Bombyx mori: one gene and its partner. The protein of the gene in region 2 interacts with the protein of the main gene of each other region in a biochemical or structural test. Links are inferred from orthologs where the notes say so. Each region holds a gene or a part of one and is shown on either strand. Other genes may lie near its edges.

What was found.
Region 1: the proteins of putative transcription factor capicua (region 2) and Erk form a complex in vitro, tested with the Drosophila melanogaster proteins (2 studies listed by BioGRID). The link is inferred for Bombyx mori from reciprocal best matches to the Drosophila melanogaster genes cic and rl.

Annotation. Positions count from the first base shown.
Region 1 is NC_085116.1:4,090,215-4,106,080, reverse strand, and holds part of Erk (extracellular regulated MAP kinase), read right to left. Parts: intron 11,922-15,866; coding exon 11,795-11,921; intron 11,712-11,794; coding exon 11,601-11,711; intron 10,896-11,600; coding exon 10,761-10,895; intron 6,598-10,760; coding exon 6,481-6,597; intron 4,495-6,480; coding exon 4,327-4,494; intron 1,824-4,326; coding exon 1,635-1,823; intron 1-1,634. UniProt on the Drosophila melanogaster protein: Serine/threonine kinase which acts as an essential component of the MAP kinase signal transduction pathway to regulate proliferation, differentiation and effect cell fate decisions in various tissues.
Region 2 is NC_085113.1:8,149,960-8,166,591, reverse strand, and holds the start of putative transcription factor capicua, read right to left. Parts: upstream 8,325-16,632; 5' UTR 7,431-8,324; intron 1-7,430. Other genes in the region: dynein molecular motor protein light chain 1, read right to left, coding at 9,987-10,135, 11,470-11,635, 11,709-11,744; palmitoyltransferase ZDHHC2, read left to right, coding at 13,831-13,996, 14,068-14,189, 14,669-14,775. UniProt on the Drosophila melanogaster protein: Transcriptional repressor required for the specification of numerous cell types during embryonic development. Required for terminal patterning of early embryos.

The DNA of each region.
Region 1 (15,866 bases), on a different chromosome or scaffold from region 2:
TCCGATCCGGTAGTAGATTCATTCGCGAAGCAATTGCTCTTGAGTTGTTAGGTCTCCTTCGAAGGCGCTCGGGCAGTTGTTAGCAAATCCCGCCCCTCTTGGCTGAGTCTTTGCTCGCCCACCTGTCCTGGTGAAACTGGAAAGGCCTTCGGGCCACCAGTAAACTATCAATCATAAAAATAAAAAAAAAACATTCAGACCGTCGCGTCGGTCTACCGAGCAAATATCACCCGCTCGGTGGAAGATATTCCTTTCGTCGTTTAAGCTCCCCAAACTGGTGACCTGCGACGGAACAACTGCAGCCTTCACACTTCATCATCAGCGCACCAGGACCGTCGGTCTGCCGAGCAATATCACCCGCTCGGTTGAAGATATTCCCTGTATCGTATATCTCTACAAAAGGGTAGACCGAATTGTCTGCTCCTAAGCATTCTTAGTGAAGAACCCGCTCAAATACAGTACATGTACGACTTATTACGTATAAAATTTCGGTTGTATGTCTTGGCCGGTTTTACATAAACATGAGTCTAGTGACTCTAGTCTAATCATAAGTCTCGTTTTAAGTGAACGTATTCAGGTGCCCGAGCACTAAGCCCCGCAGTAATGCTTTGCCTTAAAGCCTTAATTACACCGCCGTAGCTTCATTCTGAAGCCCCCTTTCAAGGACCGTGCATAATTTTTCACCGAACGCAAAAGCTTGCATTTAATTAAAAAGTGTTTAAAACGTATTACGTAAATTTGCGTGCTACTAGAAGACATTCGTTCCTATTATTAGTGAAACCTTTTTTTTTTGTTAACTTACATCGATTTTCATATAACTTTTGAAATACAAATTCAAATTCAAAACCATTTATTTCAACTTGGATGTCATCAAAAACACACTAGTTGAATGGTAAAATATAAATGAAAATGTTAACTCTACCACCGGTTCCAAAAAAAGCCACAGTCTTGAGAAGAACCGGCGAAACAAACACAGCGGGCATTTTTTTTTTTTTTTTTTCTCAAATATTTTCTTTTTTTTTTCATTTAATTACAATCGTATGCCACCTGTTTGCTTTCGTTTTTATTTATAGAACATAAAATTGTTAAATTTACTTTTCATCGAATTATAATAATACAATAAATAAACGAATTTCACTTAAGATTGTAATTAATTGCATAAGTATTTACTAGTATGGGATAATCGTGTTCCAATTCATGCATGAATTCAGCATGATTGCTTCGCAAATATTTTGGTACTAAGGGATAAAATCACCGCGTCTGCGACCATACACACCATAGTCACTGCATGCATGTGCAACTCAAAATGCAACGTACAATTCAAAACAATGATGATGATATTAATTTATCCCTAATGGGAAAGGCCAAGGACTTTAGTCCATACAGCCAGGTCTTGTTTTTGGTAATAATTGGAAAATTTTGGTAGTTTTAAAGGCCGAAGCCACGTCTTCATTGTTCTTGATCGTAAGGCCGAAGACATGTCTTGTCTTATTGTTGTCAAATCTTATTACTTTCGGTCATAAGGCCAAACGCACTTCTTCGATGTTTTGAATTGGTCAATGTCAAATCCATAAGCAATAATAGTAGAATCCAATTCAAAACAAGCGTCTATGAAAACAACGTTTATTACATACCTCATCATTCGGGTCGTAGTACTGCTCGAGGTACGGATGGGCTAGGGCTTCCTCGACCGTGATGCGTTTGTGAGGGTTGAAAGTCAGCATGCGATGGAGCAGGTCCAAGGCGCGAGGGTCCGCTCCGGGGAAGAGGTCCACCCACGGCACGCGAGGCTTGAACGGCAACGACTCCAAGTAACCACGAGCCTGATTGAACAGCAAACAACATTTTGGGCTAAACATTAGGAGCAAACGCAAACATTCGTAAATCAATACATAGTATAAAACAAAGTCGCTTTCTCTGTCCCTATATCTGTCTGTCTCTATGTATGCTTAAATCTTTAAAACTACGCAACGGATTTTGATGCAGTTTTTTTTAATAGATAGTGATTGAAGAGGAAGGTTTATATGTATAATAACATCCATTAAATAGTGGAGAAATCAATAATAAATTATAGTTTCCGAAGCTTAGCGAGGGCGGGTCGCTAGTCTTTTATAATTGAATATGCAATTTCGAAAAGGGCACATCTCTGAAAATGTAAAATGTTCAGGAAATGAAAAAAAATATCTGATTATTTTCAAAGCAGTGTAAAATTTAAAATATTAACTTTTGAGATATATCTTAGTGTTAATTAGTAATTGAAAATTACTGGAATTATTATAAAATGGGTGTAAGTAAGCCTCAAAACTACATGTATATGAAAAAACGTATTTGACAAAATATGCGACATGTGCCCTTTTCGGAATTGCCATATTCAATTATAATTGAATTTTTGATGAGGTTAATTAATGCGGCAAATTTCAGGCCCAAAATTATACAAAAGCGGTATGAAAACTTTTCCACTCGCGACGCTGCGTATAATAGACGAAGTCGATTTAAAAGGAAAATTAAAAACATTCCGTTTACGTCTTTGTTGTGCTGATTTTACATCGAGCAATCCCGAGAGTAATAAAATTGAATATAATATTATAAAGCTGTTATTGTTAGAACCTTAGTAATTTTGTAAAGCACTTAATTTGTAAGTATTGTAACAAATATGTTGAATCGAAGACTATTTACAGAAAATTTCTTTCAACATCATCGTCACATTACTTTTAGCAACAATTTTATTTTGTTGTTAACGTATGATTACGTTTAATTAAAAAATATGTATGTTGCTAGTCAACATCAAAAAATTAATATAACAGTATCAAAAGCCCATTGCGATTGCATAAATATGTTACCTACAACGTTCTGAATAAGCCGATAGATAAAAAGATTACATATTATAGCAAAACAACTAGATTTCAAAACTTCCCGTAGTAGTACCGTGTACAAAGCATTAACTAAACCTCGAAACAATATCGAATAGGCAGACAAAGTGTCACTCACATATTAAGGTAAACTAAGATGCAGCTCAACAGTATTGAGAGTTTAATGGGACATAGACTCTTAATGACCCTCCTTTAAAGGACTCATTTGATTCGCGGTCTAAATACGTATCTTATTCAACCAAGTCAACTCAAGAAAACCCTTAGGCTCTTAGAAAAAGAGCACAAAAACGAAGAGTTTACATCATTACGTGCGATTCAAGTCGCCACTTCACGAAAGAATCCATTTATAATATATTTTATCCTGAATAAAATAATTAAACAGAATAACCAGAAAATTCGAAATTTCTTTCAATAAATACCGAAAAAAAGAATTAAAGACTTTTAAACTCACACTATCCCACCCACACTCTTATTATATTAGTTACCACGTGGTATGAAATGAATTCACTCTTTATAAGAAACGAAATCACTAAACATACAGACAAAAGGATGCAATAAAGCCTACAGAGTATAATGAGAGGTGTAGATTCAATTGTCTATACGTCGAACGAGTTTTTTAATAGTAACTGTCGATAAGTCTATATATAATTAACAGTAGACTATCATTTTCAGGATAGTTGAACAGATGATATGATGCGATCTCAGATATCAAAATGGATTTTCCTTTGTATGTAATAAAGTGGATGTCTGTAATGGTAGTAGCCTCGGGCTGTGTAGTTTTTAGAATGACAAAGGAATAAAAAAACAGATGGTTCAACCTTTGTAATTACAATGAGCAAATTCTTCATAAATAATATAGTCTCTAAATTAAAATAATACTATTTTTCTTTTTCTTACCTAAGCTGATGATAGCCTTGGGAGGCTATTTCAGCGTAACCTTAACTAGTAGGTGAGCTCACGGGGCTCAAGCCCGAGTGATGCTAACACTGACCCTAGCAAGAGCAATGCTTCGCAGAATCTACCACCGGATCGGAAACGCGACCCACTGAGAAGATCCGGCGAGAAATTCAGTGGGCTGCGTCTATGGGTTAATTCGCTCGTCGAGCCCTTCGTCGCAAGCGACGGGTTCGACGAGGACGGTGACCGGTGCTTGTTTTACCTAAAAGCACTGTTAATGGATCGAGAGGATTCGTAATGACCGTTGGACGACGTCGAATTATACTAAATACTAAACTATATCATTCAAAAAATTCAAGTCAGATAAAATTCATATTAACAAATTTTAATATTAGACATAATTAATTGTTAAACATTATGTAAAACACTGAGTTGAATATGATGCAACAGTTTTTATTAGTTTCAAAAGTACTTTAAAAGGAAATTCAAAATTTCCACTAATCTCGGCCCTTCGGATATTAAACATTCACAATTCATCGGTATATTACAACTGGCTTACCTTTTCGTTAATGATGCAATCAAGATCCTCCTGACTCGGCGAACCGAGCACTCCCAAAATGTGATTCAATTGATCCAAATAGTGCTTGCCCGGGAATATAGGTCTGTTGGACAGCATCTCCGCCAAAATACATCCCACTGACCAAATATCTATTGATTTGGTATAGCCCTGTGTTAAAACAAAAATCGTTTTATATCAGAAAATTTCATTACTCGCCCAAGCAGATGTACCTAAAATGTGTCAACGTTCGGGACTAGATTTATGACTACAATACCAACCTAATAATTGTGGATTTATGAATACGTGAGCTTGTACGGTCTCCTATAGATTTAAAAACGAAATTTTATTAAGGTCTACCCGGTATATCGCGCGAGAGAGAAAAAGACATTTTGTTTTAATTAAATTTAAATACGTAATAAATTCTGAGGGAGAATTGAAAACATCCATAGTTTATTCAGAAGGCAAAATAAAGCCGCAGATAATAACATAATAAATTATATAATTTATGTAGAGACTAGGGCTTTGTTTTGTCGTTTCATCTCAAAACTTGATCTCGATTACGCCAGACGGATAAGATTCTTGTCTCCATATATTATAGGCCTTCACTGACATTGAGGCAGCGAATAACGCCAAAATATCCTAAACGAGGAGAATAGCAGGAATGTATTGAATCCAAAAATGTTCTAATGAAATACGTAAAGCCAATATGTAAGGGAAGTTTCAGGATATATTTCACATGTTAAGAATGTGTTTATTATATTTTTAGAAACATATAAAGTTAATAATCAATTAGAGCAAATGAAGTCTACTTATTTGGTGAGTTAAGAAGTCCTTTAGAATTTCATTTAAATCGTATTACTTTCCTCAAGTGTTTTATCGCACAGGCACGTTCAACATTTAACTGTGAAGTATATTGCGGAGGTGAAATGTGAATGCGAATTCTTCTGTAAACAAATAGGTTCGGGGCCTCGATGTAAAGATACCTCTGCGTACGATACGTGTAATTCTTGCCAAGTTTGGGGGCCAGGACAGAAATTACTCCAGCTTAGGTTGACTTTTATGCGGAACGTAAATTCTCTCAGTTTTGTCTCTTGAGGCATTGAGTTTTATGATGCGAGCTTTATTTGCTTTTACTTTTTATGTATATGGAGTGGTATGTTCGTTGCTAAAACTGCGTCGGCCAACTTAAGAATAATCATAAAAAGTCTAGATTACTTAGACGAAACCATCGGACATTCTTCGTTCTTGGTGTTCGTTTTGTATTTGTTTAGATAACATTATTTCAATAGATTATCGATACTATTTATAATATTATTAGCATGTTTTTTTTTTGTTTTAACACGGATAATCGCGTACCCCGCAATCTTTTGCCTACCTTTGACCACCGCGCTCGCGACAGCACTGAACATAGGGAATTCCAACTAAAAATCGTCGTAACAAGATAATAGTATAGATAAGCGAGAAAATTTAAATAATTTGGGCCATAGCATCTATTGTTGTCTACGCTTAGCCTTAATAAGTAAAACAATGATTCATTTAACAAACATTCAAAAATACAATTCGTCATCGATACAGGCGCATTACGCGTCGCGTTTAATAAATATCACATACATAGTAACGTATTACGGTGTTATCGAATAACATATTTAGTGAGTGTATTATCAATGTTTGCTGTTCAAAATCATTCTAGTAATCTCAATTATTTGTTCAAGTGGATTTCAAACGAATTCACGGATATTTTCATACGTTTTGTCTTTCTTATAAGCTTGTAACGCGATTTTTGACTAGAAGAAAACGAAGTACGTTCAGCATTTCATTCGAAAATTATTATTTATCAGTTTTCATCATGATACAACAAGCCGAACTATATTGTGTGGTAAAAAACTATTTGGTTTGAACGACATTTGGCTTAATATGCGACATCATTTATCTTTGTAATTAAAGATTCATTTTATTTGGAATTACATCAACAATTCGATGTTTTTAAATGAACTTTAATTAAGTTTACCTTAAATCAAATAGCTGAAGAAGTTTTTTGTTATATTTTTTTCCCAAATTTTTAATTTTAAATGCCTATCTTTTAAAGTTGCAAAAATGTCCCTTAAACCAAATAGCCTTTCACCTCTCGATATAATAATATTATAGACTATATACCTTTGAGTTGAGCATGATTTCAGGAGCACGGTACCAGCGCGTGGCTACGTATTCCGTGAGGAAACCGGTGTGGTCGTGATCAGGATCCGCAACTCGCGCCAGACCGAAGTCGCAAATCTGTTCAATACAATAATAAAAAATTAACAAAGCAATCCTAAGTTACAAAAAGAAAAACGATAAGTTAAAAATATTTAAAACAGGAGTAGATCAGAAGTACTTTTACGTGTGGTAGGACCTCTTGTGACTCTTGTGAGTCCGCGCGGGAGGGTACCACCACCCTGCCTATTTCAGCCGTGAAGCAGTAATGCGTTTCGGATTGAAGGGCGGGGCAGCCGTTGTAACTGTACTGAGACCTTAGAACTTATATCTCAAGGTGTGTGGCGCATTTACGTTGTAGATGTCTATGGTCCAGTAACCACTTAACACCAGGTGGGCTGTGAGATCGTCCACCCATCTAAGCAATAAAAAAAAAGTTACAAAAAAAAGATAAGTTAAGAATATTCAAAATAGGAGTACTTAGATCAGAATTTAATTCTTTTGTTTATTGTTTTCGCAAAAGAAAAACAGAACAACTTATTATTGTAACAGCAACGAAAAAATAACTGAGCTTCCACTAAAGTATACCCGAGTTTTAAAAAAACAAAATATGCAAAGAAATTGTATATCCGCTCGAACCAAAACGTGAAAAGCACTTGTAACGAGCCCCTTCACTCGAAAAGCCGAGATCTCGAGGAGTTTCGACGTTGCCGTAATACATTGCTCAGGATTAACGGTTGGTAAGACACTGAAGAAGCTATGAATTTTTTATTTCTAGAATCATCTACCGTAAAACGTCTATAGTACTCTCAGTAGAACTGTACTGCTATATTTTTTTTTACTGTTTTGATTGAGGTTACTCGTAATATAATAACTCGTCCGATGTATTTAGACATAGGTTAGTACGATCGATACTAAGTGCACATTAAGTAGCTATTAGTGCATATTTGGATTACTGGTGGCAGGACCTCTTGTGAGTCCACGTGGGTGGGTACCACCACCCTCCCCATTTCTGCCGTGAAGCAGTAATGCATTTCGGTTTGAAGGGCGGGGCAGCCGTTGTAACTGTACTGAGACCTTAGAACTTATATCTCAAGGTGAGTGGCGCATTTACGTTGTAGATGTCTATGGGCTCCAGTAACCACTTAACACCCGGTGGGCTGTGAGCTCGTCCAACCATTTAAGCAATAAAAAATAAAAAATAAAAATTTGGATTATTTAAACGCAATTGAATTGGTCGTTGGAGTCACGTAATCGTTTTTGGCTGGACCTGACTTTAACCTTTTTAGTGCTGAGCTTATTAGCTATTATAGTAATAGAAGGCAAATGGAACCATTGTTTAATAAGCCTGTTGTTTATAATGATACCTTACTTCTGAAATTCGACTGACATGCTAAAACATTGGCAAGACAGTCAAAATCCAGGATAGCGGAACTTTCTGACGTACCATCGATGCGAATGATTTATCAATCCTGTCTTTTATTAATGTACACTGTGAGCACTCCAAAGTTAGACTACGATTTTATATTCAGTGAAAAATGAATTAAGCGTCTGAACCTGCCATATCGAATCACATTTTGAATTACAAATATAAGGAAATAAATATATATATAATGTAAGCCAAAATTATTTTTATATAATAGTTTTTTGTCCCTTGTACCAACTACTAGATAGAGTCGGCCTAGCTTGATTCCATAAAATAAAATACATACACACTTGTATATGTGTGTTCTCAAATTAAAAGCACTCTATGTGAAATTTCCATTTTATAGATTGATAGTTTTTAGCAAAAAATAGATTTATTGCTGCTTCCAATATCAAAAAACCTGCCTTTAAAAATGTTTTAATACAAATTAGAGTTGTGTGACACTAAGAAAAAAAAAAGGGTAATTTTTACAAAGACCTTGGAATGTAACTCTATAACATAGTTGGTACCACCGCATATGTTAAGCTTACAACCATATGATAATGACAGAAGCAGTTTTTATATAGATCGAAGCAAAGCAAAGACAATACGTATTGCAATTTAAGCCCATGATTGACGTCATTTGGTGCTTACGTCTGTTTGTCGTATGTAAAGAACTGTTTTGGATGAATAATTGAAATCAGCAAATTCACGATTGCGATATTCAGGACGTTTTCGGTTGACGTGTGATTGAATGCGGATTCACTGTCCATTTCCGAAAAAACGTGTATTGGCTATAGAATTCTTTAGGCGGATTTGGAAAATGACGTTATTATTTAATTTAATGTTTTGTCTGCACAGCTTGGTATTACACCCCGTATATCTTCTTTATTTCTGAACAGTTTTAATACTGTTTGACTGTTTATCGCCTGTATTAAGTTATATATTATTATGAAACGATTAAATAATTAGATCTAGTGCCATATAGTATAGCGTATAGTAAGTATAGTATAGTAAGTATAATATATAATAATAGTAAGTAGTATAGTATACTATAGTAAGCCGTATACTAAGCCAATAATATATAGTACATAACATGTCCTTAACAATGTATGGTGTGCGATATTGTTGTGCTATGAGCTATTTAATATATGCTATTATATTATGGCGTAGGCTGAAAGCAACTTGACCGTGCGAGATTTGTTTCTAGTTCCTTTTTTTATAATCTGCACACAATACCTGGCTCAAGCTTGTCAATGACAGGAAGTATGTAATACCTATCTCTTCGATATCTTCCATAATATTATACAATATGACTTTGGATGATATCTATGAATAGGCGATCCAAATTTATTAGAGTCTGAACATATTTTATTGCCAAGCCGAACGAATTCTTTAAACGCTTCAGTTCTCCCGTTTCAGTATACGAACGGAGTTTTTGCTATTGATGTATCTTTACATTAAAATATGACTTTGCTTGCATATTTTATTTATTATGAACATTACATAATGTTTTCATTTTTCGTTTATCAAAAACCACTATTACATAATATTTTTATATATTTTTTTTAAACAACTGAATTTCACTCCAAAGCCTAAAATATCTCCGAAAGCCCACGGACAGTAGAGATAACCTCTACTCCCAATGGCAATTGGTGCGAATGCAAAACATACATTTCAAATAATTCCTCAAAGTATTCGTTGTGGATATTACGGCACGAAATACAAAGAGAACCAAAGCCTCTCAGTGGACCGAGAGGTTGCAAAGCTCGCATGAAGTGAAATTAGGATTATATACAGTATAATAACATTATACAGGATTTTCGATAATCCGATCATCTATATAGACTCAAATGTAAGTAGCATTAAGCTCCCTTTCTCTCTCTCTCTCGTACAATAAATAAAACCATGAAATACAATGTTCTTCTTTCATAGGTATCAATAAACGTCTCACAATAAAGTACTAGTTTAGTGATATTTCTTCGTTTATGAACATTAAAATAGCCACTGGAGACGTATAAATAGTCCTTTAGAGCGCTATCGATCGACAACACGGAATGACATCGTAAAAACTTAGCGTGGTACTTTGTCACGCCTCGCTACCTCGTGTTCGGCAACATTTAGTTCAAATTACGCCGTTTCCGTATATTTAGCTTCAAAATAACAATCTAAAAAAATATCACAATTAGCATTTAGATTTATCTTATCGTGATTGTTTTATAGCAAAATCGTCGATCGTCACTTCAACGTATATACATCCCGTGTGACATTACAAGGCTTCGTCATCACGACGCGCCATTTCCGAAAGATTTCAAATTTATATACCCTTTTGTAGGGTACTTTGAGATTCGTACGACGTTTTCCATCATACGATCGTTTTATAAATTTAACGATTCAGATTTGTGGTTGAATTCAAGGTACTTACGACTTTGATGTTTGACGACTTTCATGTATATATATATATATATAATCTATAATATTTATATATACACAAGACCGCGCGGGAGGTTACCCATGTGGTGGACCGACCAAATTAAAACTGTAATAAGAGGTCCCCTAAATGAGTGCAGTAGAATGGCCTCGAGGAGGAAGAGATGGCGGGACATCGTGAGACGCATCAAGTCTGCCCACTCCAACACTACATGACGATCACGACCACTCTGTTAAGAGTGACACGATTGCGAAGAAGAAGAATTTATACTATGTATATTGCATTCAACATTGAATACAAAATACAACATTCGTTTTTCCTCTCTAATAATAGGAAAGCTATTTCAATAATTTATTATTAACTAAGGAGACAGTTTCGAGTGACATACAAAATCGAATAATTTCTTACCTTCAAATCGCACGTGGTATTAAGTAGTAAATTAGAAGGCTTCAAGTCCCTATGGAGGACGTTTGCAGAGTGAATATATTTCAGTCCTCGAAGGATCTGATACAGGAAGTAGCAGATGTGATCGTTACTTAATTTCTGTAACAAAGAAGACAAATGAAAAAATACATTCGATTATTTAAAGTCAAATATCATTTTATAAAGCCAGATATGAATATATAACACGGGTCAACACCAAATTTGACTTTGATTGCAAAGCATAAAATTTCGGTATTTTAGATCGTAACTAGACGAAAAAAAAAAAAAACATGGCATGAAAAAGTTTGCTTTTGAACTTTAATAAATTGTACCACATAATATGAAACAAAACGCATCAGCATCGTATTTACACTTTCGTGACATTTTAAGTTTTTTTGGGCTTGTACAAAACACCTGATCGTTGTTTCCGATTGTATAAACGTAAACACCCCACTCTCATAGCGCGGTTTTTTTGAAAGTATTAAAATTAATTAAAATTTATAAAATAAAATTAAAAATTATTATTATTACTATAACTATCACAAAAGCAAACTTTATAGCAAAAAAAAAGGTATTTTATTTTAGTTTTTGTGAATAATTAACCGGATAAACCTAGAACAAACGTTAGGACAAAGAACGAATTTTTTTGTACAGTTGTGTAATCTAGTTTTACACCAATCACTTTTAGCCATTAAAATGTATGCGTTATTTAAGTTTTCAGTACGTATTAACTTAAAATTGAAAGCCCTCAATTTTTGGCCTTTGATAATGTCCCTAGTGTATGTTAGTTGCGCAATTTCTTTCGGATATATAGTTTTAACGTACCTGGGTCTTCAACAGCTTGTAAAGATCGGTCTCCATCAAGCATTGAACGATGTAAACGTCTTTCATTTGATCAATAGTTTCAGCTCTTAAAATATCTCGTATATCGATAATCTGTAAACGAACATTCCCATTTAAATCGCATAATGTAAAGAACCATAATGAATGATTCAGCAATGACACGGATATTTCCTTACGTTTTCGTGTTTAAACCGAGTTAGAATTTTGATTTCCCGTAATGTTCTCTGGCAATACGTTTGATGTTCGAATGGAGATATTTTCTTAATTGCGACTTTCGATTTCTTCACGTTGTCGAAGGCAGAACTGGGAACAAAAATGTAAATCATAAACCGACTCTAGTAACATCTATTTTAACATATAAATAAAGCTTATACTATTATTATTTTACTTAAGTATTGAGATTGTGGCGGGTAGCCATCATATAACGCAAGATAATTGACAGATGCCTGAATCTCGCTTACGACATTTTCAAGATAAAGCGCATATATACAAGTTCCGAACAACAACATTTGGACCGTCGGTCTACCGAGCAATATCACCCGCTCGGTGGAAGATCTTCCCTCCTTCGTTAAACTCCCCAAAAGATTACTTTTTTGAGAATACCTTTTGGAGACCTGAATTTGAGCTGCATGCAATTGTTTTTTGGAGTTTTTACCTCTTTTTTCTACATTCTGACTACTATACGAATACTAATCATACTAAGCGTATGGTTTATATTGGGAGTTCAGGTGGATTTCGTCTCGTATGGTGCTTCCTGCGTCCACACCGCACAAATACTATTAGGTTGGTGCTGCTGAAGTTGGAAATCTTGTTTTTTTATTATATAACCTATATACTGGACTTTTTACGTATATTTTTTCAAATTTTGCACTGTTAGAAGTACCTCATGTCCGGAACAGTTTTTTAGTACCTACTGTTCTACTGTCCTTTGTCGGGATACCGAAATTTACTACAGCAAAATAGAATGAATACGAATGGACTTTAAATGCCTCCATGCTAGTTTTTCACTTAGTCGTAAAAAGTTTACTGGTACCTGGAGTCACAAGGTTCACCTCTTGTGACTCCGCATGGGTAGGTACCACTGCCCTACCTATTTCTGACGTGAAGCAGTAATGCGTTTTGGTTTGAAGGGTAAGGCAGCCGTTGTGACTATACTGAGACCTTAGAACTCATATTTCAAGGCGGGTGGCGGCATTTACGTTATAGATGTCTAAGGGCTTCGGTAACCACTTAACACCAGATTGTCCACCCATCTAAGCAAAAAAAAGGGAGGTTTGGGGTATTCATTTCAATAACTCATATTGTATCAAAGTTAAAAAAATGTGGCTATTACCGATATTTCTATATAAATACCAAGATATATCGTTAACACATATTTACGAACCGCATTCACTATTAAGGAATAATATTATTTAATTCAAATCAGAGAGGTAGAATTTTGTTTAATCTCTAATGGACTGTGGGTCCGCTAAGGTGAAATCCTCCGTCTAGTGTGTTTCTCTCGCGAAGCAATCATGCGATTCAGCTTTGAGGGCTGAATAGCGGTTATTACTTAACAATTCCGACTTCAGTTTTCAATCTCAAGGTGAGTAGCGCCATTCGTGTTGCGGTCTAAATCTGATAACCACTTAACAACAGGTGGTCGTCGATATCGTCTACCAATCGGTACAAGTAAAACAATTCAATGATTTGTCTAATACAGAGAGCTGTAATAAGATTTATTTATGTATTTATTACACTTCATGTAAAATATACATTGGCGGACTTAATGCCTATAGCATTCTCTACCAGTCAACCAAAAGCAGTGCAAATAAAAAAAAAAAAAAAATAAGTAAATAATTCAAGATTTTCTTGTATTATCGTAAAGACATTGGATCAATCAACTTAATGGAATAACTTATTATATTAGAACAAGTTATGTATTACATCTCAATCAAAGTAGTGAACATTTTACTTATAATTTCGTTGGTAAATATATTAGAAGACCAACATTGGATTGAGAATATTACAAATTTTTTTAACAAAAAAATAAACTATTGATGTTTTTAAGCTGTACCTGATAACATTTTATAAATGATTCATTTTGAGATTCTCTAATAAATCAATAAATTCTTTTTATCTACGCCGATCACTGCTTAATTTTAATCTATGTGGCGCGGCTTTGTGGTTGCCGGTTGCCCCAAACCGGATTTCCTAAGGAGTCCGCCTCTCACAGGAACTAGAGTTTGTTGTAGCCCCTTTTTCTGCCTCCAGAACGGGTATAGTGAGGGAGAGGCCTCTGTCACGATTCATCATCTCCTGCGAGTCTACCGTCTCGTATCGTCCTATTACGACTCATCACTACACTAATGATTGACAAAAAGTCAGATTCTATTTGACCGACAAGGACACGACACTGCTCCTCCCATACCGGACAAGTGGAGAGCCTCTGCTCCATTGTGTCCATTGGATCCCTTTGGTTGTCGCGATGCAGCTAACATTCGAAGTAGAGACTCGTTATCGTTTACATCAGCCGGAAGGTATAAACATTACGGCTACGTTTCACCTACTTCGCAAGGACCGATCCAGCCACCTCAAGTGGAAGTTGTTACAGCCGTCCATCTGATATAAATATAAATCAAATCAAATCATCGGTAGGCAGCGGCTTGGCTCTGCCCCTGGCATTGCTGAAGTCCATGGACGACGGTAACCACTCACCATCAGGTGGGCCGTGTGCTCGTCTGCCTAAAAGGCCAATAAAAAAATATCAAATTTGTATTTGTATCAAATCCACAACGAGACCAGACTTTTGGCCTCCGCACTCGGATGATATCAAGCCCCGTCGGTGGCTCAACATGATTTTATAATATTAAGTTAAATGTCCCAGACACATGGGTAGGCATGCTAGACGAAATTGTAGGGATTCTCTTTTTTGCTATTTGAAAACTCCATGTAAAACTTAGATAAGAAAATCTGCAATTCCATATTGCAGATTTAAGAAATAAGGAAAACCAAAAGCTGTACTTTCAATTTCGCTTAATATTCTTGTGATCATAAACAGATTGTTTTACGAACACGCGCGAGAAAACTCCCGCAATCATTTTACACTAAGAGGCTTTTCTAAGAATAATAATCTTATTAGCATAATATAAAAAAGATGAACGCGTGTTTTTATAAACGAACAGAGGTGGGTTCCGTGATATCGTACGCAAAAATGGAAGTTAATGTAATGTTAGTTGTATTTGATTACGAAAAACTATGTATTTTATTGTTTCACCTCTCAATCCCCTTAATCTAACGAGATACAATATATAACAGTATTACTTTTTCAATATCGGCTACCTCACCAGCTCATCAAAAAAAGATTTAGAGATGAAATTTCATAATATTGTTACGCCGGTAAGAGTAACGCCATCTATCGCTGAGTCGCCAAACGAATATCTAAGGATCCAGTAACACCTAGAACGCTCGAGGAGTACAACGCCATCTATTGTCAGATAGCGGAAACATACAATACTTGACTTTTGTGGAATATTCCCGACGATTCTGGGAATTTTGTCTCGACTTTAAAAGCGTGGCAGAGATGGCACGCAGTCAGTTCGTAATAGGAACTACACGAAGCGAAACGGCGAACGGATCGCCTGAAGAAGCTAATTGAGAATTTTAAAGTGTTCTGTGTTGTTCTAAGTGTAGAACACAGTTTCAATTTGTAATTCGGTAGAATTTTTATTTATCCCGAACCCCCAGCGCGTAACAATGTCTTCTGTTAGTGTGCTTCTAAAGTCTACGGTACATCGATTTAGGTTGTCCGTTCTCTGTTACGTTACTGGTTTAGTCGGGTCGCATAAGTTCAGGTTTCCTGTATAGTCAAATAAAATGTAGGACCGCGTGCCCCGCGTACATTTTATCCGAAATGAGATAAATTTGAAAACTGATCAATAAAAATCCTGATTTGGAAACTGGAAGCCCAGGTTAGTTAGGTTAGTTAGCTGAATATATAAAATTTACAGTAATTATCCACAATTACTATTAAGTATTATTAGTATATTTTCCTAACCTTTGACACCTTAGGGGGTAACAGAATCCTTAGGGTTCATGTTAGTTAGTTACAACTGCTGTCCCACCCTTCACTGCTTGACGGCAGAAATAGCCAGGTTGGTGATATATACCCGTGCGGTCTCACAAGACGTTATATCACCAGTTGTTATGCAAATAATAATTTTGCGGGTTTGATTTCTGCTACAAGATGTTATTCCTTCACCGTGGAAG
Region 2 (16,632 bases):
TTGCCGCTAGGGGCGCACTAAGCACACTAAACGATCCGAATTGAAAGTTCACCGTCATACCCATGGGACTTCAATCTCATGCCTCAAACGGGCGTCGGCGTTCGCCTTGTAGTGTCTGTCTATTAACAATGGCAACCAGTAAACTACACTCCATAGGTAGACTAAATAAACAAGGACCTTCAAAAACAGATTGGACCTTACGATCTCGACAAATACAAATGAAACGGCCCATTAATAAATAAATAAAATAAATATTTACTAACAATCACGCCACGTTAACTGGTCCCGTGATAAGTTCGTAAAGAACTTGTGTTACGGGTACCAGATAACGGAAATAAATGTAAGATTTTTATTATACACATACATATTTTTAATATACATCCATAACCCTGGAAAAGACATTTATATTTATCATACAAATATCTTCCCTTGCCGGGATTCGAACCCGCGACCCCCTTATGTAGTGACCATGTCACTTACCACTACACCAGACGGCCGTTAAACACCAGACGGCCGTTAATAAAATAAAATCTTAAATTATAAATAACCAACAAATAGTATGCTTGATCAATATTCAAACAGTATTAATTAATAGCTCAAAATAACATCGGCACAAAGTTTGAAATAAAGCCGTGAACACAATGTTCGGTGATAAGAGGCTTGTTCTTTGTTCTAAGAGGGGATTTTAATGTTGGCGGGAACGGATTCTCTCGTGACTGTCTCGCTCTCGCAGTCTGGGTACAAAGGAACAAAAAGTGTTGAAAGGATAAGTACTTAGAGCCCGTCGTCTACTTCAGACTTCAATATCATCGCTTACAGTTTTTTTATTAAATACAGCTAGCATTGAAAAATATTTCAAACAATATTCAAACATTATAGGTTTTATCATAAATGTTTTTTTACACCACAAAGCCGTCCTGACGTGCAAACTAACTGGGAAGATTGGTTTGAAAACAATAATTTTCAACAAATATGTATTAAAACAGTTATTATCAGTATTGGCTAAATGAAAATTAATTATTCGGAAAATAAAACAATACAAAAAAAGGTTTTATCTTGTGTGTATCAGAATCTCTTAATAAAACAAAATATGTATTCCTTGAGGACTTCACCGAACAAGGAATAAATCGCGTAACAAATTCAAGCCCACAATATTTACATTTTTGCGGCATTTCGTTACGCTGCACGTATCCGTACTACCGTCCTATTTCCATCACAAAAGTCACAAATGTTTCGATTTGAGGATTAGAATAATCGTTATTCCAATTCAGTACAAACATCGAATTCATATCTAGAGGAGGCCGGCGTTCACGTACTTCTAAGGTCTCCGCTTAACACCATGTATGGCGTTGACACGACTACTATGCCAATAAAAATAAACTTGAACAAGAAACAAAAGTCGAAAGTAATTACACTATAAGACGTATCTGATCAGTGCTCACTGATTATAACGTTTAAAAGCGGCGTATCCAAACACAATGATGAGACATTTTATTAATTTTAAAATACCAAACAAATTTAACATTAACTATTAAGCTTATAATACTAGAATTGTAAGAAAAATTAAATCATCCGTTAAAAAAATGTTACGAATTTCAAACACCAAAATATGTACAAGAAATGTTTTATCATACTGTGGACTGTGGTCGTAGGTCAGAAATGACGAACCGTGTCATAAAACACCAGCTTTTTGATGGTGCTACGTGCTAATGTATTCTGGGCACGTCTCGCCACATACTTCGTGCTCGATTGTATCTATCGTAAGATAAAAAGCGGCTCTACTATTGGCCATTTTAAACATCAAATAGCAATGAAAGCATTCATGACGTGTCACGATGATTCAATTTAATATTGATATTCATAAATCTTGTTTGACGATATCTAATCCCAATTAAGTAATGGAGTTCACACAATGTCATTTTTGTCCCCGAACTTCTATTTCTTAAAATAAATATGCGGAACCATGCGCGGATCATAATAAAAAAATGCTTAATAACATATCTATCTATCATTATCGTCTTTACATGCCCAAGCAAAGTTCATTTTTTATTGTAATCTTTACTATTTTCTTAGGTTTCCAGAGTCGAAGTCACGAACTAAAACTACTTTTACGGTTTAATCTCGTGTTCCTTATTAACTACATATTATTACCGAAACTTCCGAAACTTCAAATACTTTACGATTGTCGTGGTGACACACGTTTTATTAAAATACGAGCATCTATTTTATGTCAATTATAATAAGACCTAATTTATTTTATTAATATCTGTGCCGGTTTTTTTTATTGTTTAGTTGAGTGGACGAGCTCACAGCCCACCTGGTGTTAAGTGGTTACTGGAGCCCATAGACATCTACGACGTAAATGCCGCCGCCCACCTTGAGATATAAGTTCTAAAGTCTCAGTATAGTTACAACGGCTGCTCCACCCTTCAAACCGAAACGTATTACTGCTTCACGGCAGAAATAGGCGGAGCGGTGGTACCTACCCGTGCGGACTCACAAGAGGTCCTACCACCAGTAGATGTAAAACGTCGATAATTTTTTTTAAACTACGAACCAGCGAACTATAGTTTGTTGTGGCACTATGACTATTTCAGAGCGCCTAAAGGAAAAAACATAAAATCCAGAAATAAACAAAAGCTGATGGTGAGTTAAAACTTTTTATACCTCAGATTTTCATTTACTTAATTTACGTTTTTATATCGAGTCAAACAGACATCGATTTTTATTTTTATAAAAGAAGATACCTATCTAATTACATATATTATGGACATGAACATGCTCTGTAGTATATACGTTAAAAATAAAACAACAGTATTTTCGTCTGTTTGTCTCTGTATTAGTGTATCCTAAATTTAATCTTATTTTAATGTGTGCACTATGATACTAATATAAATTGGTATTCTAAATTGCAAGCACATCGCATTAACAAATTTGTTTTAATCTAACAGTTTCAATGTGACAATGAGATGTAATGAAAATAAAAACATACAAAAAATATTTCACGATAATTATAACTGCAAAAAAAAAATATCTAACGATAATTATAACTGCAAAAAATATATATATCTAACGATAATTATTATTGTAACTGGAAAAAAAATACTTCAACTGCATTAATATAATTCCGTAAATCAATTACAACTGTGTATGTATTAATCATCGACCGACGGATTATTCAGTACTTTATATTCAGAAATAGATCAGATTTAGTTCGAATCACTAAACCGAATATATCCTCTTTTGTTATTTTTAACCGACCGGAAGTACTAGAACTATTGGACAGATAATTCGACGCTCACGTTGTATAACGTTTATCCCATTACGCTACATTTCAAACTGAAATTTTGTTATAGTTAAAATAAAAATTTGCATCGCTCTTATACACTGGAGGTTAAGGAATGTTTTAATTCACCTATTGCAATATACTATTCAATTTTAATAAAATTCTATTTATTGTAAAAAAAAATCCCTTGTGGGCAGACGAGCATACGCCCCACCTGATGGTGAGTGATTACCGTCACTTATTGACGTCAGCATTGCCAAGGGTAGAGACCTACCTACTCTGTACTACTGAGTACTCTCTCCGCAAGCCTAGTTTGAAGCACTTTGGTGGGGAATTCATACAAGACCGAAAGGTTCGTGGCAGAAAAGATTTCTTAAAAGGCACTCAATTGATGAGTAGGGACATTTCCACCACCTCCCATGGTCCCACCAACCTTGCGGTTATTAGGACCGAAGCATGAACTTCACGGCACCAAGGTACCGATCGGTTCTACAAATGATGAGTAGTATGTATGAAATCTATTCCGGTGGCGAGCGATGCGGCAGTGTAAATTAGATGGTGCAATCATCTCAAACAATTCCTTAGCACTCGCCACGGAACATACAATAGAAAACAGAGAGAACCAAAGTCCCTCCATAGATCCAGAGCTTCCAAACAATCCATGAAAATCCGTGTTGTTTGCTAAAATCTAAAAGGGCGAGAAATATGTATTTTTTTTGGTCAGGAGGAAATTGCCGGACTTCCAGCCTCCACTGGGGATGGCGGGCGGGGTAGGTCGGAGTCGAACCGACTAAAACCTGTCGCTCAACAACCCACGTCCGAGCCTCGCATGAGACGTTTAGCGTGAAGCGTTAAGTGCGGAGCACATCTCTCCCATCACCCTCGCCCTCGGCACGCCTGGCCAGCGATCGTCAGCGCCACGACCACCAGCTCTCTGTCGGCAGGCTGTCCGAAGCCCGCCTAAATGGCGTCGGTATTTTCTCAATACAAGCTCACTTTTCTTTGGAACATAAATTCGTTCTACAAATGATGTGTCTTTCACATCATTTGTAGAATTTTAATTGACGGCATTGACATTTTTAACGACACGTGTCCTGGTCTCAAAAACAAACTAGTATCCAAGTTCCTTTGTTTATAGTTGATGAGAGAATGTTAAGTAGTTAACTCTTGTTTTCATGTTATTTTCAAATATTCCTTTTTTTGTCATACTGTTAACATTTAAATTTAGCCTATTTTTCCGCTGTTTGTAAAATTGCTGTAACATGTCATACATAGTGTGTTATAAGAGATTGCTGTACATGCCTGTAACTGGCTTACATACCAGTACTTAATTTTATACATGTTAATTTTAAGCTTGAATGTTTTGTGTGTATTGCTGTTGGTGTGTCTAAATAAATAAATATTATGTGATATTGTGAACAGGCACAGACTGGTCCATCACACCACGGGAAGAATATTATTTGTGGAATCTCAGGTAGCTTTCACTTTTGTAATGATTAATTCTGATTCAAACTAAAGTGCATCATTGGAAGACCCTCGTTGCGTTTCTTCACAATCATAAACTTTACAGAATTTGAATGCATTTAAAAAAAAAACTATTGGTGGTATTTGCCATTTTTTTATAAATATTATGACACATAAGGCATGAAATATATTTTTTCTATATTACGAAATTGAATGGAAAAAATATAATATTAAAATTAAAGTATTTGGCAACATTGGAGGCAGCTGGTGCAAAAACTAGATCAAGGTGGTCACGACCCTCAGTAATGAGGAAGCGACGAAGAAGAGAAGAGAGATTTGGCAGAAATGTGTAATTATACTTAATCAATGTAATTTTTTATTTACTTGTTTTTATATAAAAGCATATGACTTTTTTAAGACAAGCAAGTTATTAGCTGTCAAATGGTGCAAATGTGTTTTACATAATTAATAGCTTAGCTATGAAGATTAAGATCCACTTAAGACCTTTGAATACCTTGATACCAGGTAGTCCATGAGATCTCCTGAGTAGTTAGGTAGAGAATTACAAAAGTAAAAGCCTAGAAGGATCTTAAACAATAATCAAATGCCTTGTATTTACTAAAATGTTTCAGGTTAATAAAAATTTATTGGGACTCTAGTTTATCCTAAAATTCACTAGGTAAGCAATAAGATTGTTCTAATATTATTTTAAAGGAAAATATGATGCATTTTCTGATAATACAAAATAATCTATTAGCATTGGCATTCAAGTTATGATGTCTATGGACTGATAAGCACTGGTTACCATGTTTATAAATATTTTTGCTAAAACAACCATCGTTTTCAAAATTAAGTATGTCAATTATAAATAAATATCTTGAGAAATTTTGAAATACTAAGTATATCTAATGTGTATTATTATGTGTAATGTGAACAGGTATACTCCAACACTTTCTATACATTTTTCTATTAAAATTTTACTTAAATCATATCGACGCTTGAAAGGCAAACGTGACTTAGCGACAATAACTGCTTTGTACATAAATGATAGGCAATAACCATATTCGATGCGCAAAAAATATATATTTCTAGGTCTATTAAAATCATTTCAATCCTACTAGCTAGATTCTACTACAGCTAGATTCGTGAAAATAAAATTTGTTATCAGGTATTTCAACTTTAAATTAGTCTACTGTAAAGTTCATGCATTGTCGCTTAGTCACGTTTGCCTTTCAAGCGTCAATATTATTAATAAAAAAACTATGATTTCAAATTTGAATATTCTCCATTAGTCTGTATTTGTTTTTAGAGAAAATTGATATACTCATTCTTTTCTGAGCAGTTTTTCCAGATTTCATATAACAAAAGAGGATGACTCTCGTTTTCTACATTATCAAATTTCTGATTATAAGTTTTTTTTTTATTGCTTAGATGTGTGGACGAGCTCACAGCCCACCTGGTGTTAAGTGGATACTGGAGCCCCTAGACATTTACAACATAAATGCGCCACCTAGCTTGAGATATAAGTTCTATGGTTTCAATATAGTGACAATGGCTGCCCAGCCCTTCAAACCAAAATGCATTACTGCTTCACGGCAGAACTGGGCGGGGTGATGGTACCCGTCTGTGTGGACTCACATGAGGTCCTACCTCCATTGACACCATTGAAATTGAAGGTAAATTGTGCTAGCTAGTTTAAGACAATATTTAAGTCACAGCAAATAGATGAAAAGGAAGTTTTCAGTACATTCGACTAAGGTCTGAGTTGAATTACTGGATTTTTTTTTGTTTATCACTAAAGACAACTGTTATTGAAGACAAATCTTGTAATCTCAATGTGCATATTATGTAAATTTCAAAATCAATCAAATTTTTTATTTAATATCATTTAGAACATTAGACTAACTTATTATTGAGTGATGAAGGTTTTAGTTTTATTTCATTATTTTCATAGAAATTACACAATACCAAAAAACAATAATACTCTTCTAAGATGCTTTAAGAAAATGCTTTAGATTAAAGTACTTTTAAGCTTTAGAATTCTTAAGGTTAGTTTTATTTTTAGAATTTATTTATTTTAGATTAAACTACTACTGTTTTTTGAGCTAATAAAATTAATTATAAAACCAATTTAGAAATATTGTAATTAAAATTATTGACACCTGTATATGCAATGATTAGGTAAATACACAAGTTACAAAAGTCGTGTACTCACCTAGGCAAGATCAATATCCACACAAGAGAATTTTATTCTAGATGTACTCTAGTATTCAAGTAGCCTGTGATTGAATACATAACATTGACGTTTGCGGACGGCCGCTTAGAGTAATCAGCTGATAATAATACTGATAGATTACTAAAATGAGACTTGTAACGTGTTTATTAAATTTACACTTCACAGTATCACCGCATGATTATCAACTACAATTTAAAATGATACAAAATTAATTCACCTTGTGTTTGATGAACGATGTTTACGTACCACTGAGCATACCCGCGGGGGTGCTTCTCCTAAATAATGACGTGCCGCAACCCATCTACCACGACTGCGCCGTGCGGTGCACAAAATCGAATACTATTACCAAACTATTACTTATTCATTGTTGCATGTTTATTGTCATGTAAGGCCTACATGCGCAGACAACGTATTTACAATGCGAACACTTCACCGAGTACTCACCGTGGCTTGCAATTGCTCTGTACACGATGCACACCGTAAACAACCAAACTGCATATTAAAACAAAATGGAAGACCGTAATCGCTCGCGTCGAGATGAGAAATTTTGTAAGCGCTTAGCGCTCCCGACTTCCCGAGTAGTAAAACGTCTCTACTATCCTATCGTAGTATTTTAGCAGCTCCCCCTCCAATCTATTACCCGCCGTCACCAGATTAGATGGTACACAATCACAACACAATATGTTTCACTGTTCACAATATGGACTAAGAATGAGCACGAATTTACAAATAATATAACGATTTACACGAAATCAATGTTCTTTTGAGAATAATAAAATTCATTGAAGCATTTGACGTGCCGAGACACAACACCCACATCAAAAAAATTTACATGGCGACTGGTCTGAAGTGGCCTGCCTGGCCCAGCTTTCAATAATTTCCAATCAAACATATTGCTACTTCACTCAAACACTACAATTTTTTACATGAGTAAGAGAGACAGCAATATAAAAACATTTCCTTTTATGAATAGAATCGGAATTGTGAAGTTGCCCTCTCCACGCCACTCCACGGAGCTCGCAAAGTTGAGTTGAATGGACCCGAGAAGCGTTCAACCATTGGATCGATGATGGTCACGTGATACAAATATGCCAAGGAGCTTTAGCGGGAACGTTTGAAAAAATTCATGATTTAAGTAAAATTTTATCTCCGGGAACATACCCACAAAAAATCTATTACGTAATGTTAATTACACTAGATATGATTCACTAGATCTAGACTACACTATGTAGTTGTGAATATTGTGGAACCCGTCATTTAAATTACTTTGTATTGAGATTCTGGAAAGCCGGTTTTGCTGCTCATCGTTAAATAAACGAAGTCATCATTTGATGATCACCTTCGATCGGTAATTTTATTTCTTCATGATTTTTTCATGATACCTTTCCTACGTTTTGTTTGGTTTACAATGCTCAATCTACACAAATAGTAAGTTACTATGCTCTGCATACAATGCAGTATTATTAACTGTTTTTCTGATAATTATTGTAAAATTTTATACAATTGTATTTTGTCAGTTCATTGAACATTGTCTTGCCACTTTTCGAACAGAACGATGGAGGATCTTGAATAGGGACCACGTTTTTATTTCAATTCAGTATTTAGGAACGGTGAACAGTACTTGTAAAATATTTAGGGCATAAAAAAGTTTAGTTTTCTTCCATGAGATCAGGCCTTGTTCATTGGTATAAAATAGTGCAAGAAAGCACTGATGAGTATATATTTCAATCAGCCGGTTTTTTTTGCTACGAAACGCTATATAGGTACCTTTCATTTAATTTGTAAGAAGACAGGAGGTACAGGTAACCCAGATATCGCAAGGTAGGTATTTTACGGAAAAAAAAATCCCCAATACCCAATATTATATAATGAGACTTCTATTTAAAATTATTTAGAAAATTACAGTAAGCTTATTTTTTATGTATAATAGATTAAAATATATATACAGGTATAGAATGTTTTATTTAGAAAAATCCTCTCCTTTTTGTAGTCATCTTATCTTAAATAACACGAGTTTTGCATAACATCGGAGTTTGTAGGAACGTATCTACCGTGGGTTTCTGATGGGTTACCAATGTTAGGTAAACGTTCCATAATAATATGTTAAATGTAACGGCACTGTTCTAAAGTAGGTAGGTACCTACTCGTGTCAACAAAAATTTTAAGACCTCAATTTTATTACAAAGTGAGCAACTGTGGGTCGTCAACTCGTTCACTCATTTATGCAATAAAAGTAAAAAAAAAGAAGCTGATAGTGTTTTATATTCATTCAGCAATATAAAAAAATTCAGATCAACGTTTTCTTTATGGAATCACGCATGATACTGGTTTCTTTATAATCGCTCAATGGGCCTTCTCAGAAAGCTCCTGTAATCAAACACACCTCAATATAACCAATACTCCTCATGTTCGGCACCTAAACATCTCGAAGTGAAATCTCTTTTCCTGATAAATGTATGTGACAATGTTGTGCCCTAACAGAAGCCTTTTATTAGATAATCTGAGATTTTTCTAGTAAAATTAACAGCCTCAAAATATATTTCGTAAGAGACCACCATGCTCCAATTTCCCTCTTACACAATTTGTACTTTTGAATAGAATTTTCAGTATTTATATTCAGTGGAATGCAAAACAAGACTACATCCAAGAAAACGCATACAAATTATATACATCAAATCGAAGATTCAATGAAACCAGTTTTTACTTTCTTAGGTTTTGTTGTTTAGGTACAAAGTTCTTTGTTCTCCCAAAGTTTTTGTCCATAAATGAACAAACTTATCTGTTTATTAACACTTTATTTCTCTATGCATATATACTGGAAAATGACATAGCATACTTTTCCATTTAGTGTAAAATAAAAGCTTTATTTATTAATTGAAACATAAGAGTTCATAATAAAACATACAGATTTGATAATTATGTTATCAGTATACTAAAAATTTGCTTTATTAGTATTATAAAAGAGATTTTAAGCCAGTAAATGAATATAATAAATCCATGTTATATGCCAAGCCCAAAGACTGAGACAATGCAGTACATAGTTTTATTCTCCCAACGGACCGTGCATGAGCCATCAGTAGTGTTATCCCAATAACAAGAAGAACTTGTATGCAGTCCTGCACCATTCTTCTGCAGTATTGTGCAGGTCACTGTAAAAAACAAGCAAATATTGGATAAAAGTAAATTTACACATTTTAGCTTTTCTTCATTAGAGGTTTAACTTTTATCTTATAAAATAGAAAATTCATTTATTCAAATTACCAATATATTTGTGTATTGGTAATTCTCTAAATTTTTAATGCCTTTGTGGGCAAACAATCACACGGCCCACATGATAGTGAACAATATCACTGATAGACATCAGCAATGCCAGGGGCACAGCCATCCATTCTACCTGGAATCGCAGCATCATCCACAGTGCGTTTCCAGCTCTTTATGGCCACGTACTATCCAGCTTTGAATGAGCTCCTCTTCAAACGAATCTTGTGGAGAATACTTAATGATAAGCAGCGACTTGGCTCTGCCCCTAGCATTGCTAAAATCGACGGGCTACGGTAACCACTCGCCATTAGGTGGGTCGTATGATCATCTGCCTACAAGGGCAATAAAAAAAAAAGAATTGTGCTTTATAAGCTTTTGTGGAGATTTGAAGTTCAATTAGCTCCTTATAGATGCTCAACATTTTAGAAGCCAGTCTTCCAAATTACTCCAAATAGTGTAAATACTTTTAGTGTTTATTGTACATACAATTAATACTATACAATAATTGCGAAAAGTTATAAAATGGCGAGCCTAACTAAACAATTGATTTATCTACCAGCTAACCGTTCTTAAAGAGGGAGAGCTTTACATAAGTGGGTAGAAGAGTACAATCTAATCAATTTACTTATTGATACAATACACAATAACAACAATAATATAAAAAAACTAATATATAATATATCAGACTATATACATACACAATTACACACATAAATAACATATACATATTTCATTATACACATACATATATAATGAAATATGTATAACTAATACTAAATCGACAAATAGTGCTCCTTTAAGGCATTAATATTACAATTTTGTAATTATGTATTTCAATTTGAATTATTAAATGCTGTACAAAATACTGGAAAATTCTAAATAACAGTTTGTTCAATTATAGCATAAAAGATGCAAGTATACTGCTCCACTCTCCTTAAGCTATTACTTTATTAATGATGTAATAAGTCTCTCTCTTCCTGATGGTCAGATTAGCTATCACAATAAAAGCAAGCATTAATTCCAGTGTGATAGCTCCAAAAGTCATGCAAATGAGTCTTGCAAACTCCATAATTCAAGGTTCATTTGCAATAAAAAAATACAATTTTAAACATTGTTTTTTATTTTTGCTAAGAGAGCTTATACAAGGGACCCTAAAATAAATGATTTTTTATTTTATGCATGCTGTGTTACTTAAAATAATCTAGATTCTCAACGCACGTACCTACATATTTGTATGGTTTTTGTAACTTAGTCAACTGCCCCAGACATGACTCAACAACTGCTGAAGTCCATTGGTTGACATTGTTGTGTTGATAAGCAGTGCCTCCAATTGAATTTTCTATAGCTTCTTTAATTATTTTACTCACGTCGTCGACAATGAATTGGTTCTGAAATACACCATGTTGGTAAGTTTGTTGAATCAATATTTACCAACTAATACACACAAATGACTATTATTACTTCTTCGTCCAAATCGTTGCATTCTTTGACTTCCATTATTTTGTTTCAAGATAGGTAGTAAGTATTGAACGTTATCAAAATGAAATTTCTGTTTGAATTTCGAAACCAAAGAAGTTCGACAAACTAAACAATTTGGCCATCGGCATAGATAATACCATAAATATTTTTTTTGTTAATACCATAGATAGTCGTAGTAGTAGTTTTATTTTTCCAAATGGAAAGACAAAAGTATTACACCATACTGCCTAATCTTTTATATATATATTTTTTATGAAATATGATATTATGAAATGAAATGAAGCTGATTAATTTAATATGAAACATGGCATGGCATGAAATAAATAAAAATATAAATGAAATGAGATTATATTATATGGGATACTTTAATGAAACATGTTAATATGGAGTGAAATAAAATGAAGAATTTGAGACATTAATCAACTGGGATGCAATTAAATGAAATGAGATGAGATGATATGGGATGAAATATAATCTCATTAAAATGGTGGTCGTTTACTGAGATTTTTTCAGTGGACTTTTTGGAGGATCCCGAGAAGTTACGTCCAACGGCTTTGTTTCATTTTCCCACATTTGTGCACTTTCACAAATACTAAACAGTTAATAAACCACCATTATTACACATTTAAGCCTGAAGAAACACTAAATAGACAAAATAAAACAAATCGCACAACTTGACACCTCGCTTTCCCGCCAAAAAGTCCATATAATAATACACATAAGTTAATAGATAGGTACTTGGCACTATGGTCAAGATTTTTTTTTTTATGATTGAAGGATTACTGGTGGCCCGGAGGCCTTTCCAGTTTCACCAGGACTGGTCAAGATCTAGTGGTGCTCGGTTTATAGCCAATATCCATCATCAATGCCAATTATTCGACTATTATGTATCAGTGTATTTCATCGTGATTCTTTCATAATGAGTTTTGAAGTAAAAAACCTTAAAACCATATCGCTAAAATAGTTATACGCTATTTTTGATGTGTACAAAAACCCGTTACATTTTTTCTTATAACTTTATTTTGAGAACAAAATCTAAAACTTCCTGAAATATTCAAAAACATTCACGTACGGCGTAAAATAATACACGCAAATAAATTTACAGAAATTAAATATAATATAATAATACTTACCTTTTTAAGAATTATTAAATAGTAAAAATCGCTTTAATAGGAGAAACCTTTAATGAATAAGGTCTTAATAAGCTAAAATTAACAGTAAAATTTATTTTAGTTACATTAGATACATTGACAAAAACACTAAAAAACGATAATAAAACAGATTGACAATGACATCAACTTATGACTGATAGTTTCAAGTAAGAACTGGTAAGAACAAGTAAGAAGTATATATTACATTTTAATACGTCATGCGTCATATATGCTATAAAATTACGATCTACTACCTACATGCTGCATTACAATAAAATCTATCCTGGATTTGGTATTAAGAACCAGTGCCGCCATCTCTTATAAATCTGAATATGGAATCGCAAATTATTGAATTAGTTTGCAGGAAAAAGTAGTGGATAAGAAATGTGCTTTAAAATTTGACGGTAACAGAGATATTTTTTTCAAGCTGGGGTATGATTCTCCTACAAGTTTCCTGCGTCAGCGGGTGCACAGGATATGTAGGACTCTGTTGGCGAAGATCTTAAAGGCTAAACTAACACTAAAACACTCAGCCTATCGTCACCATCACGTAGGAAAAAGTAGTGCGAATTCCTGACCCCAAACAATTCAGAGTTATTTGATGTGAAAATATAACAAAGAAATACTCTCACATTAATAACACTAATATGGATGGACTCACAAGAGGTCCTCCACTAGTAAGGTGGTAGGACCTCTTGTGAGTCCGCGCGGGTAGATACCACCACCCTGCCTATTTCTGCCGTGAAGCAGTAATGGTTTTTGGTTTGAAGGGTAAGGCAGCCGTTGCAATGGCATCCCAATTAACTTATATTTTTATATTCTATGCAAAGATTAAATTGACGTTTTACAAAATGGAAATGTCACTCAGTCAACCGTCAGTGTCGTCACTTTTTATTGTCTCTTTTTTAGGTGAACATGGATTATTTTCAATTTGATTTATTAATGTAATCGAAATGGCTTCATCAGTACAGAATAGTAGGATTTCATCACCTGGTTATTGTGCCTGTTGTCGAACGTGCAACATGTGGTGTTGGAAAGGATTCAAATGGCTTCCAGTGTCATTCATAGTGTCTATAATAACTTGGTCATACTATGCCTACGTTATTCAACTCTGTATTTGTAAGTGTTTAAGACTATTACCAACTTTACACTTAATTAATAGTAAATCATTAGACTTAATTATATTACAGTTACAATACAAAGCACAGTCCAACAATGGATTTATTTGGTGCTGTACCACATACTCCTAATAATGTTCGTCTGGTCTTACTGGAAAACAATTTTTGCAGAGATAGAACCAATCCCTGAAAAAGTAAGTATTCTTTATTAATGGAAATTTCCAAACATTATCGCATATACAAAATTTTCATTCTGTTTAGTTGAAATTATGGTAAAAAAAAATATTTAGCCTCAAGTGCAAGTCGTCCTCATGATTGAATGTTTATTTAACACAATCATATGAAATAAGCTTCTATACTTACACATTAAATGAAAGATCTTAAGTACGTATTTGGTATGCATAAACAATTTCCTCAGTTCTTCCACACTGATGTAGTAGATGTAGTATGCACTGATGATGCCACAGAGGACAAGTGCAGATATACAAACTAGATTACAATTACAAATTATAATTACAATTATAAACCAAGATTCACATACCAAACCATGTAAAAAAACGAATCTGAGTCATCAAATATATGAACAAATAAATTAAGATAATACTTGTTTGTGAAAGAAATTAATACCTAAAGTTAAACAAAATAAATATCATTTTCATGTAATAAATTTTAGTACAAGCTGCCTGAAGCAGAACTAGAGAAAATGTTGAGTGCAGAATCTGAAGATTCACAAAGAACAATTCTTGAAAACTTTGCTAAGGATTTGCCAATTGTTACAAGGTAATTCATTGTTTTAGTCTGGCTGATTGTTACTCAGTTTATTTAACCCACGCATAAACCATTAAACTACTGTAAACCATAATTAGGATGTTAACCTCTCACATCTGAAAGTTAAACTGAACGTAAGCCTGATTGGTTTAGGTTGATAAATAACTTTATCTGCAGATACATTTGGCAATTTTATATATAAACAAGGCATTGTGTGGTCAGTAGTATGGTACTAATAGGGGACTTTATCCCTTCCATCTATTGAACTATGGAAAATAGTTAGAAATTGATTAATTTAACCATAATTATTATACATACATGTAAAGAAAAACCTTTATGATTTACCTTAAAAACTTAAAAACTATATAGTTTAAAAAAAAAACTTAGACAGAATCACTCATTGTCTGTCATTCAGTGAAGAGGGTAGTTCAGTTTTGCATAGTATAAAAAAACTGTTTAAAATATTAATTTTAAAAGAGATTAAGGGCTTATGTTGTTTTAGTTTGAATTTTAAAGGCAATTACATCTTGTGTTGTTAATTCATTCTGGAGTATTGTATATTATAATGATGTTAAAGTTAAGGAAGCATTTTGCGTTGAATTATATAGATTAGCCCAGAATGAATATATTTAATTAAGCAAAGGAACCCAGTGTGTCTCTGTATTGTTGAAAAGCAATAAAAATAGTGAAGGAATACTTAAGAAATTATAACCTTAAGTACATACTCATTCTTAGAATTATTTTTATCTGACCTTTTATCCAATGAGCATGTGGCTTTGACTGCGTATCTAGATATCTGTGACTATGAGTACAAAGCTGTGGTCAGAAAACTGGTAAAAAAAACAACAATATAAACTATCTCACCATTTTCAAAATGATTTCAATATTTTTGTTGTATATTTATTTGGACATAAACAGTAATTCCTTATTACAAAATTAATACTATATTTTATAATTTTGGACTATGTCCGACTAAGTTGTCGACTGCTGGACATAGGCTTCTCCCAATCCACACCAATGAGCCCGGTCTTCCGTTCTCCTCATCGACCTCTTGCTGGCCACCGTTTGGAGGTTATTGCACCAACTAGCTAGGGTCTGAAATGGCTGGTTGTACTAAGGCCTTCTGCCACTTTCAGTTTTCTGTTTTATATAGTATTCAAAATAGATCTGATGTGAAGCAGTGTACAGAAGATAATCAATGGTGAGGTTTAATATTTGTATTTGTCAGGCGAATTTTGCAAAGCACACTGAATGAAAATAATAACAACACATGGTTATATACAAAAACGAATTAACAAAAATACTGGCCACTGGGCCCAAGAGTCAGGTGATATGACGTAGGCCTCATACGATGTGGAGCTGCATTGAGTGTGTGAGTACTTGCCTACTCCCTACAAGGGCATCATCAAGTTTTAAGTTACTCTGAAACGGTGACATTGGATAGTTGAAGCTTGTGAGACACAGTTTTTAACTATATTTTGCCATTTCTTTTACTAGACCTTCTGTTATAGGATTACTTTAGATTATTGCCCTTACATAAACACAAGAGAGATTTTTTGGAAGAATTTATTTTTATTTTCAATTAGCAAATTGAATGTTACAAAAACTTATAAATAAACTTTCTGATTTTGAGATTTCACACAAGAAAATATTAATAATAATTTATTATCAAAAACGATAAATTAATCTTTGATTGTCTGTGATAATATATTAAATGAAACTCAAAACCACAATATTTAAGGTCAACAGTGTGAGTCATTTAAACTATAGTATTTGAAATAAGACAATTTATTTAGCATTAAGAAATATATTTAACACTACATAGCTACATGTATTGCAATTCAATGTACATATGTACGCATTGCCGAA